Linked DNA regions of Danio rerio. The protein of the gene in region 1 binds, or shares a complex with, the protein of each later gene. Links are inferred from orthologs where the notes say so. Each region holds a gene or a part of one and is shown on either strand. Other genes may lie near its edges.

Region 1 (4,437 bases):
ATTTGCGTGTCATATTAAACAAACTGTTTACAGCTAAATTAATGTAATTTTGCTCACATGGATAATTGAATATTATTCAGATGATGACATTACGCTGCTGTGCCATCAGCCAATCGATGCATTGCTGATCATAATTTCGAGGATTGATGGATCTGTCCTTAACATCTGCAATCGCAGCAATCTCAGATCAGTTTATCCAGATATTTTAATCTGATTCTCAAACTTGTGTGAAGAACCAAATTAGTTAGAAATCAGTTATCAAGATTAAAAGATCCAGAATCTGCCAAAATCATCTTAGATCATTTAATCGAGGTACGAAGAACAGACCCCAGGTGACTGTTTGAAGTGTGTCAGTGTGCGTTTACCTGGCTGCAATGGATCTTCAATGTAAAGCATAGACGGTCTGTATCCATCCAGCATGCTTTTCTGCACTTCATCTTTGGCCACATATGAGCCTCCGTCTTTGATTCTGATCCCTGTCTTCAGGTAGTTAAAATGCCGTCCATAGAGCTCAAAAAACTCAATCAGCAGTACACCCAAGTTTGGGTTTGAGCTGCTCACGTCCTCTCTACAGTGCAGCTGGCAAATAAAACAGCAACAGTAATTTGACTAGATTGTTGGCATATGGGCATAAAAACAATCATCACTGAATGAGTAATTTTTCAACTATAAAACAAATCTGCAGAGGTGTATGCCAAAATGTAAGATTCTGCAATCTGATATTCACAAAATATCACATCCTTCTTCAGAGTGTGAGAAGTATGAATTTAAAGCTCTATTTAAAGCTTTTCTGCTCACCAAGGCTTTACAAAGGGATGTGTTACATAATTTGCATACATAATTTGTCTGTTTCTATACAACTTTTTATTCCACAAACTGATGTGAGAGTTGATTTTTTTCTTTGGGCTTTTGCAAAAAATTAAACTGTAAAAAACCTTGACTGTAAAATGTTGAAAGATGACAAGAATTTTAAACCTGACTTCATCCAAATGTTCAAATGTGTGTACTAGACGTGTGTAAATCAGCATGTATTTAAAACAATAGCTCACTGACAAATTTGAATAAAAACAATAAACATAATATTAGATATTAAAACTATTTGGTTATTATTATTATTATTAGCTATTTTCACCCTATTCACTTGCACAGTCTTATAATTTTTAATAATAAATTAATTAGTTTCTATTTTAATTGATTTCACCTATTTTAATTTAACTTACTTATGGAAAATCTGAATTATCCACAGCCAGTTCTCCAATCTTCAGTGCCATATTATTATTCAGAAATTCTTATCATATGCAAATTTGATACCATATTTAAGAACCACAAGATTCTTTAAAGAATAAAAAGCTTAAATAAACACCATTTAAGCTTAAACAAACATTCAACAAGTATTTGTTCCAAATGAAAATCCTTTGTTATAATGTCACACTCAACTGTCTGGGTGCAGTGCATAATGCAAGCAGCCAAGTAGGATTTATTTAAGAGTACTAGCGAGTGTGTGTGATTCGAAGTAAATGTCTTACCTGTAGGAAGCTGACAGCCATGAGAAACAGACTGTATGATCCGATTCCTCCTGTGAAAACCTCATTCAGCTCTCTCTGCAGTAAAAACTGCTTTAAAACCAGCACCAGGTACGGTAACACAGGATATTGCTAAACAAAAAACACAAGAAAGAAGAAATTAAAAACCTACTTGCATTTTAACACTATACCTGCAACACAGAGCAATTGTTTTACATGCCTCAAGTGAGAATTAATTTATGGTTGCTTTTACACCAATTTACAAAGAACTAAAAAACAAAACACTTTGGGGCAGATGTTTTAGATTGAACTGCTTTTTTTAGATTCGAAGTGCTCTTTCATTTCAATATGCTTACGTACCAAACAAAAATGCAATGTTGTTTTAACCACTGCACCCGAAGGAGCTCAACTGAAACTTTATTTTATGCATCTTTACTTTAAGATCTGTAGTACTGACTCTTATTTCCCTGAATTGGTCCCATTTCAAGATCTCTTCTTCATTATACAGAACATTTCCTTTGCAACAATCACATGAAGCTTCATCTCGTTAAAAAAAAAAATAATTAATTAATCTTGTTGATATAATAAAAACAAAAATTCTGTCCATTTTTAATCAGGAAATCTCATGTCTTCAGTGTTTCAATTGTCGAAAGAAATCAATAAAACCGCGTATAAACAATGTCACCCAACATTAAATGTAGTTTAGGATAGCCATGAAGTCTGGAGAAGAGCATTTCTCTAAATATTTGGACTACATTAGCCCATGTATTGATTATATTTTACTTTAACTGTTAGTGGTTTCAAATAAAACTGTCATGACGGTCATATTTTTAAAAAATAAACTGCAGTACAAGCAGTTTCATAATCAGAAGTAGAACTGCCTTGTGCGAAAGTAATAGGGTTCCATAGTTAGTTTAAAGCAATAGCCAAAGACTTAGCCAACAAATTTGTCATATAAATTTAAATATATTTAAAGACAGAGCCAATTTTGTTCAGTAAACCACTGTTTAATTCTCTTTACCAAAAACAGCAAATCATGTCATTTTTGTGCACTGTTATACCATTACGTGAAAAAAAGCATTCAATCTTCAAAGGCATAGTGTAGTTGTAATGTGTTATTATAGGATCTGGTGAAGATCAAGTGTAGTTTGCTCAGATTAGCTTCTAAAATCTAAACATCTCCATTTTAAATTCTAATTACATTTGAGGCTGCACTTACACTGCATGGCTCAAGAGACTCAATTCAGATTTTTTTTCCCCATGTGGCACAGATCGTACAAGACCCATGTTCGTGTAAGCAGGAAAGAATCACATGGATTCTGACTTACTCAAATCAGATTCAGGCCTTGTTCATTTGTGGAAATGTATCTTATATGAATCGGATCTGTGCCCTTGTGTCTAGTAAAAGCAGGTAGATCGATTTATCACTTATCAATGAGAGTCACGCGTCATAAAAAATAAAAAAAATTTGCGAAGGACATAAAAAATGGAATGTTTTCATTCCAAAACAGACTTCAACAGAGTCCTGCACCTTAAATCTCATACACAAGGACTAAAAAGCTTTGATATTGTCATGTTGCACAAGTATTTAAGCATGTTTAAAGAGAAAGAGAGAGAGTGCAACATCCACCACATAACCAATATAAACTATTACAAAACTGTTGCATATATCATATGCATAAATCACACCATGGACATTACATTAAGATGCCTACAGGTTTAAAAGGTCTAGATTAAATGAAGATGGCCAAATGAGAACTTTGCCATAAACTATAGTAAAATAACAAATCAAAAAAAAATTTAAATAAATTTAACCCTGCAAACAGATTAAATACAGAAATGGAGTAAAGATTTTTTTTTTAATCATCAGCTGTCAGTCAGCGCTCTGTCTTTTTTTCTTGCTCATTGCACCTTTGCAGTGTACTGTGTAAATGCAGACAATCAGATACAAGACACGTTTAAGATATGATGCAATCGGGTTATTAAAAAAAATAAATATTTCAGATACTGTCACAAAATCGGAATTGACCATCAAGATCTGCAGTGTAAATGCAGCCTATAATCCCTTCTAAAAAAATTCAATTTCCCTCGAGACTCTCAGAGAAATAGACAATAAAAACAACTCCACACTCACCTGCTTGTAGTCCTTGATGAGGTTTGCAGCTTTTACACCACTCTGTACATTAAAGCTGATGTCCACTTTCACCTCTGTGTGCGAGTCCATCAACTTAATAATGGGAACCTACAAACACAAAGAGCATTAAATACATGCAGACAGACAACAAATACACTCAAGACACATGTATGACACACAGCAGTGCTTACCGTTGCTTTGTCCAGGACTTTAATAGAGTTTTCATCTGCAACTTTTCTCTTGCGTAGAGCCTCCTCCAGAGTCCAGAGAGGTAAAGTCTCCCAGTTACCAAACACCACCAAGTCTATATCACTGATATAATGACAGAGGAGAAAGTGTCAAAGTGAAGCAAAAAGAAAACATTCTCTTCATCAATAAAATCTTTTAGGGAGCACCAATGTGTATTTCAAATCTGTGATTCAGAACGATTTAGATTTTTTACATTTAATAATAAAAAAAACAAACAACAACGCACCTATGTTACGGATCAGTTTTCTAAAGGTACAACGAGGTACTAAGCCTAAAATGCTTCAGCAACTAGCACACATCTTAGCACATGCAGATTGATTCCACTAAGCCAGAGTTCAGTAATCCAGGTGACGTATAAATGCAGTTTGAGCGGTGTTGAGTAACGAGAGATTGGCTCTCGCAAAGAAAAAAATGCACACACTCAAAATCCCAGGAGACGCGAAGCTAAAAAGTCCAAATTTGAATTTCCTCAATGCAAACACACAAATGTGAACAAAAGCACACACCTGCATATTATAATACTTGCATATT
Region 2 (5,113 bases), on another chromosome or scaffold:
CGCCACCTCAGGTCACAACAACAACACACACAAAAATTGTGCAAAAAGTGTCTAGCAACAGTGAGGAGATTGTAAGTAAAAACAGATGTAATGATGTCGCCAGAGTGGCTTTTTGATTTCTTATCTTGTGCATCCCAGCCACTAGCTCCCTATCTGAAAGATTTTTTTTTAGCATAGGGGTATCGTAGTCATTCAACTTCACAATTGGTATTTTTGCAATATGCATTTGAATAATGGTGGTTAGTTACTTTACTTGAAAGCTCAGGTTTTATTATTATATTTTTTTGTTTACAGAGTATGAGGTTTACTGTAATTATTATTATAGACATTTTGTTGATCTAATTTCAACTTTGCTCTGATTGTTCATCATTTACACTTTTTTTAGTGTTTACATTTTGCTAACAACTGGGATACACTGTTAAAATATTGGGCGCCACTGCCACAAAATTCCTAATAAAATATCCCAACCGCAAGTTAACCTAATTATTTTTACAAATTTAAATGAACTGAACATAAAACAATTAGGTGTACCCCATAAGAATTGTGTTTATTCATCTTATTTTAAATAAGTAGTTTGAACAAGCAGCAAAAATCCTCTTTTTTTGGTGTTTTTTTGAATGTATGACACCTGTTTGGAAAATTACAATTAAATTTGGATTTTGGGAATACACTTTAATTCTCAATTAGTGATTTGTTGTGTTGCTAAATATTCAGTTTCCTTGTTGTAAACTTGCCAAATAAATAAATGTATAAATTAAAATAAATGTGTATGATAAAAATTAAACATTTTAATGCAACAAAAATGTTTTTGCTGCATATTTATTGTTTTGATGCTTTTTGAACATTTATAAATTATAATTAATATTAAATAGAATAATAAGCATAAATATCTATTCCTTATTGATTGACTGACTGATATTTTATTCATTTTTTTTTTACTTAGTCCCTTTATTAATTAGGGGTCGTCACAGCGGAATGAACCACAAACTTATCCAGCACGTTTTACGCAGCAGATGCCCTTCCAGCAGCAACCCATCACTAGGAAGCACCCATACACTCATTCACACACACTATGAACAATTTAGATTACCCAATTCACCTGTAGTAGCACATGTCTTTAAACTTGTGTGAGGGAAACCGGAGCACCCAGAGGAAACCCACACGCCGCCCACTAATATTTTATCTTATTCAAAAATAATATTAATAACAATGTTTTATTTAAAAATTTTTGCAAAGTAAAACATTTTAAATCCTAAATCAATTCATGATTTATTATTAACTATTTTCACATCATTGCACACTATACACGCGTCATTTAAAGCCCACTGTAAACTCAACAGCCTTAAAATCGCAAATGCTTAAATTTTTTTCTTTACTTGAATCTGTAATTACAAATGATTGTGAGAAGTAGAAATAACATATAAAAAGAAACTACAATACACCTTTATATATTTTTAATGAACACATTCCGAGAGCAAGTTAAAGTAATGGTATTATGTAATGAATTACAGTGAGCACTTAAATGCTTTCACTTTAGTCCTCTTAAGAGTATGACAAAGCTTACAAGCTTTTTTCAGCAACAGGGCTGCCCAATATATTGTAGATTTATCATTATCAAAATAATAGCATATGCGCCAAGATTTTGTGTTGCATAAATAAGTTGTTTATCCAAATTTGGCCAATCAAATGGGGCCGTATTACATTTCAACCTGCTGTTATGCTGACCATTGTGTTTTCTCAATGTTTGCACCTTCACAGTTTTTATTAGCCTATAAGATAATTGATTATCTTATTATGATTATTACATTAATAAACATAAATAAAATTTGTCAAGAGACATGTTATAATCACAAACAAAATCACTGTAAGAATATTCAACAAAAATAACGCATGATGCATATATTTACTATATCTTGCTGAAATAGTCTGCATGATACAAAAACATCTGCAGATTTATTTGGGAACTCTACATTTGTTATAATTATTTTATGCAGTATATATAAAAGCTAAAGAAAAAAAAGACTAGGAACTAAACACAAATGTATTTTACTTACTCTCCAAAAACATAAAAAAAACAAAGATTAACAATACACAATATTGTTCTCATCATATGTTCAACACTGAGGTAAAGTTGGTTTTATATTCACATATTAATATGTGTTATAATAACTTATATACTCTATATAACTGTCCCCTAATTGTTTACCCAGCTAAGTACTTTGAATATTCTATCTGAAATCGCATGCAAGTATGACTTTAAAACAACATGAAAACTATTTAATTGAATGTAAACAATGATGTATTTTAAAAGTTATTGGCTGCTAATCTGATTTTCCTATTCAGAATTTAATAATACTTTTCTGAAATTATATTAAGGAAAATTTCAGAATATGCAAATATAAAACCAACTTAATTATTTACTTAACTTTATTTAATATGTTCAACCACCATAAATGCTAATCAAACTTACAAACAAATGCTCTAGAGCTTTCGTGACACACTTGAACAGCTTATATGAGACCAATTTAAAACAGTATAACGTACATACACTACAGTCCCTCGAAAGTGATGTTTACATGTATAACGTGGCCATAACATACATGATCTCTGTTTACAAAGCAAAGTAATATGACATAAACATAACGTTTAGTTTGGTCACTGTCAGATTATTTTACGAGTATTCGAGGACAAATATTTTGACATACTAGTATAACAATAACATTTTTATCTGTTTGTTTGTTTGCATATTTGCACAAAAGCATGTAGTTGAAATGGAGACTGTTTGACAACACCACATTAGTCCTAGACAGAGATTTGTGTCCTCAAATCCATAAAAACAATTCCAAAAAACATAAACTCATCTGATTTAACACATAAACAACACCACAGTGAATTGACACTATGCTAACTGAAAAGCTAAAGCACCCAATAAAAACCAACAACGTCAGACCATCCGCAACACTAAATATCTGCATAAAACCAGCAAGTCAACAAAACACTTGTCCTTCAACAACATTAAATGTACGCGGATATATATTTTACACGAATCTGACAAGCATGTGTTAGCTTCAGTGCTAGAAGTGCTGCTCGGAGACCCACGTGTGTTCACGTACACATGGACGCCGGCTGAGACGCGTCGCATTACTACTACACGGACACGGCGTCGTTTAAAAACATTTATAACCTCAGCTACATCAAATGGCACGTTTGAACAGGTTTACTACCAGACTGATTAAAAATCTGACCTGTTTATAAATTCCGATTTGCAACACGGGACACTACTGGCTTCCGGACTCCACAGGAACATGAAATGGTTGGCCAACTATTCGTCATCCCTGGGAAAAATGAACTAAATTTAGCACAAGCATCGAAAATTAGTGACTCTGAATATGAGGATTGTTTTAAAAAACTACAACTATGTCTGATCGTGGTGTTAATAGGAGAGCATTTGGAATATGAATTGTTCTTACTTGTATTTTCTTTTATACAAGATAGAATAAGAGCCAGTGGTCCCTGAAATGTAACCTACTGTAGGCATGAGAAAATTTTACAGAGTAGATAAAAAATTTACTAAATTTGATTCATTGTCATGAACATTGATACACGTTTAGCTTATTTTGCTATTAATAGCCTAATAATAATAATGTTTTGTCACTATTGGTTTTTAACAATGGACAATATAGTACAAAAAACTTCTTAAAAACAAAACAAGAATGATATAATTATGTACATAGAAATAGAAATAAATATGTGACCAGAAAATATAAGAACATAACATTGTTTCCTAACAAATATGAAATATGAGAACAAGTGCTCATATATTAAAATACATATTATGTGTATTGTAACTTTTTTTCAGCTCCTTCACTGTTACAAAAAAAAAAAAAAAACTTTTTAAACATATTTCAAACAATAATTTCATGACATATCAAAAGACTTAATTTAACCCCTCAACTTTCATCTCACATTTAGGTGAAGGAATAAGGAGTAAAGTTAAAAGGTAAGGATCTTTTTTTATTACACTAACCTGAGTTTTACCCTTAAAAGTAATTTATGTAAAATAGATTTACCCTCTATAGCATTTTATTGTTTCAAATTATTTAAAACAATAATTCAAAACTCTGCTTTCTATATAAAATAAATATATTAAATTTAATTTGATGCATCTCTATGTTCCCAACTTTTAAGTTCACATCTGAAATAAAAAGCCAACATTGTTACTTCTTGTAGAAGTATGTGGTTTAATTGAAATTTCATTCATTTATTAATCTTCTTTTTGGCTTATTCCCTTTATTAATCTGGGGTCGCCACAGTGGATTGAACCACCAACTTATTCAGCATATGTTTTGCGCAGCGGATGCCCTTCCAGCCTAACCCAACACTGGGAAACACCCATACACTTTTGCATTCACACACATACACTACGGCCAATTTATTCATTCATTCATTTTCTTGTCGACTTAGTCCCTTTATTAATCCGGGATCACCACAGCGGAAAGAACCGCCAATTTATCCAGCAAGTTTTTACGCAGCGGATGCCCTTCCAGCCGCAACCCATCTCTGGGAAACATCCACACACACATTCACACACACACACTTATACACTACGGACAATTTAGTCTACCGCATGTCTTTGGACTGTGGGGGAAACGAGAGCACCCGGAGGAAACCCACACGAAGGCAGGGAGAACATGCAAACTCCACACAGAATCGCCGACTGAGCCGAAGTTCGAACCAGCAACCCAGCGACCTTCTTGCTGTGAGGCGACAGCACTACCTACTGCCCCACTGCCTCGCCCACAGCCAATTTACATTATTTAATTTATATACCGCATGTCTTTGGAATGTGGAGGAAACCAGAGCACTTGGAGGAAACCCATGCGAATACAGGGAGAGCATGCAAACCCCACACAGAAATGCTAACTGACACAGCCAAGGCTTGAACCAGCGACCTTCTTGCTGTGAGGCGATTGTACTACCCACTGTGTCACTGTGACGCCTTATATTATATTATATTATATTATATTATATTATATTATATTATATTATATTATATTATATTATATTATATTATATTATATTATATTATATTATATTATATTATATTGTTATT

The links. The genes of interacting proteins can lie anywhere in the genome.
Region 2: tent4b (region 1) and zcchc7 share a complex: the UniProt entries of both Homo sapiens proteins name them as parts of the nucleolar TRAMP-like complex. The link is inferred for Danio rerio from reciprocal best matches to the Homo sapiens genes TENT4B and ZCCHC7.

What each region holds. Positions count from the first base shown.
Region 1 is NC_133182.1:38,081,893-38,086,329, forward strand, and holds part of tent4b (terminal nucleotidyltransferase 4B), read right to left. Parts: intron 3,970-4,437; coding exon 3,849-3,969; intron 3,766-3,848; coding exon 3,658-3,765; intron 1,656-3,657; coding exon 1,527-1,655; intron 580-1,526; coding exon 366-579; intron 1-365. UniProt on the Homo sapiens protein: Terminal nucleotidyltransferase that catalyzes preferentially the transfer of ATP and GTP on RNA 3' poly(A) tail creating a heterogeneous 3' poly(A) tail leading to mRNAs stabilization by protecting mRNAs from active deadenylation.
Region 2 is NC_133176.1:23,284,203-23,289,315, forward strand, and holds the start of zcchc7 (zinc finger CCHC domain-containing protein 7), read right to left. Parts: upstream 3,104-5,113; 5' UTR 2,545-3,103; intron 1-2,544.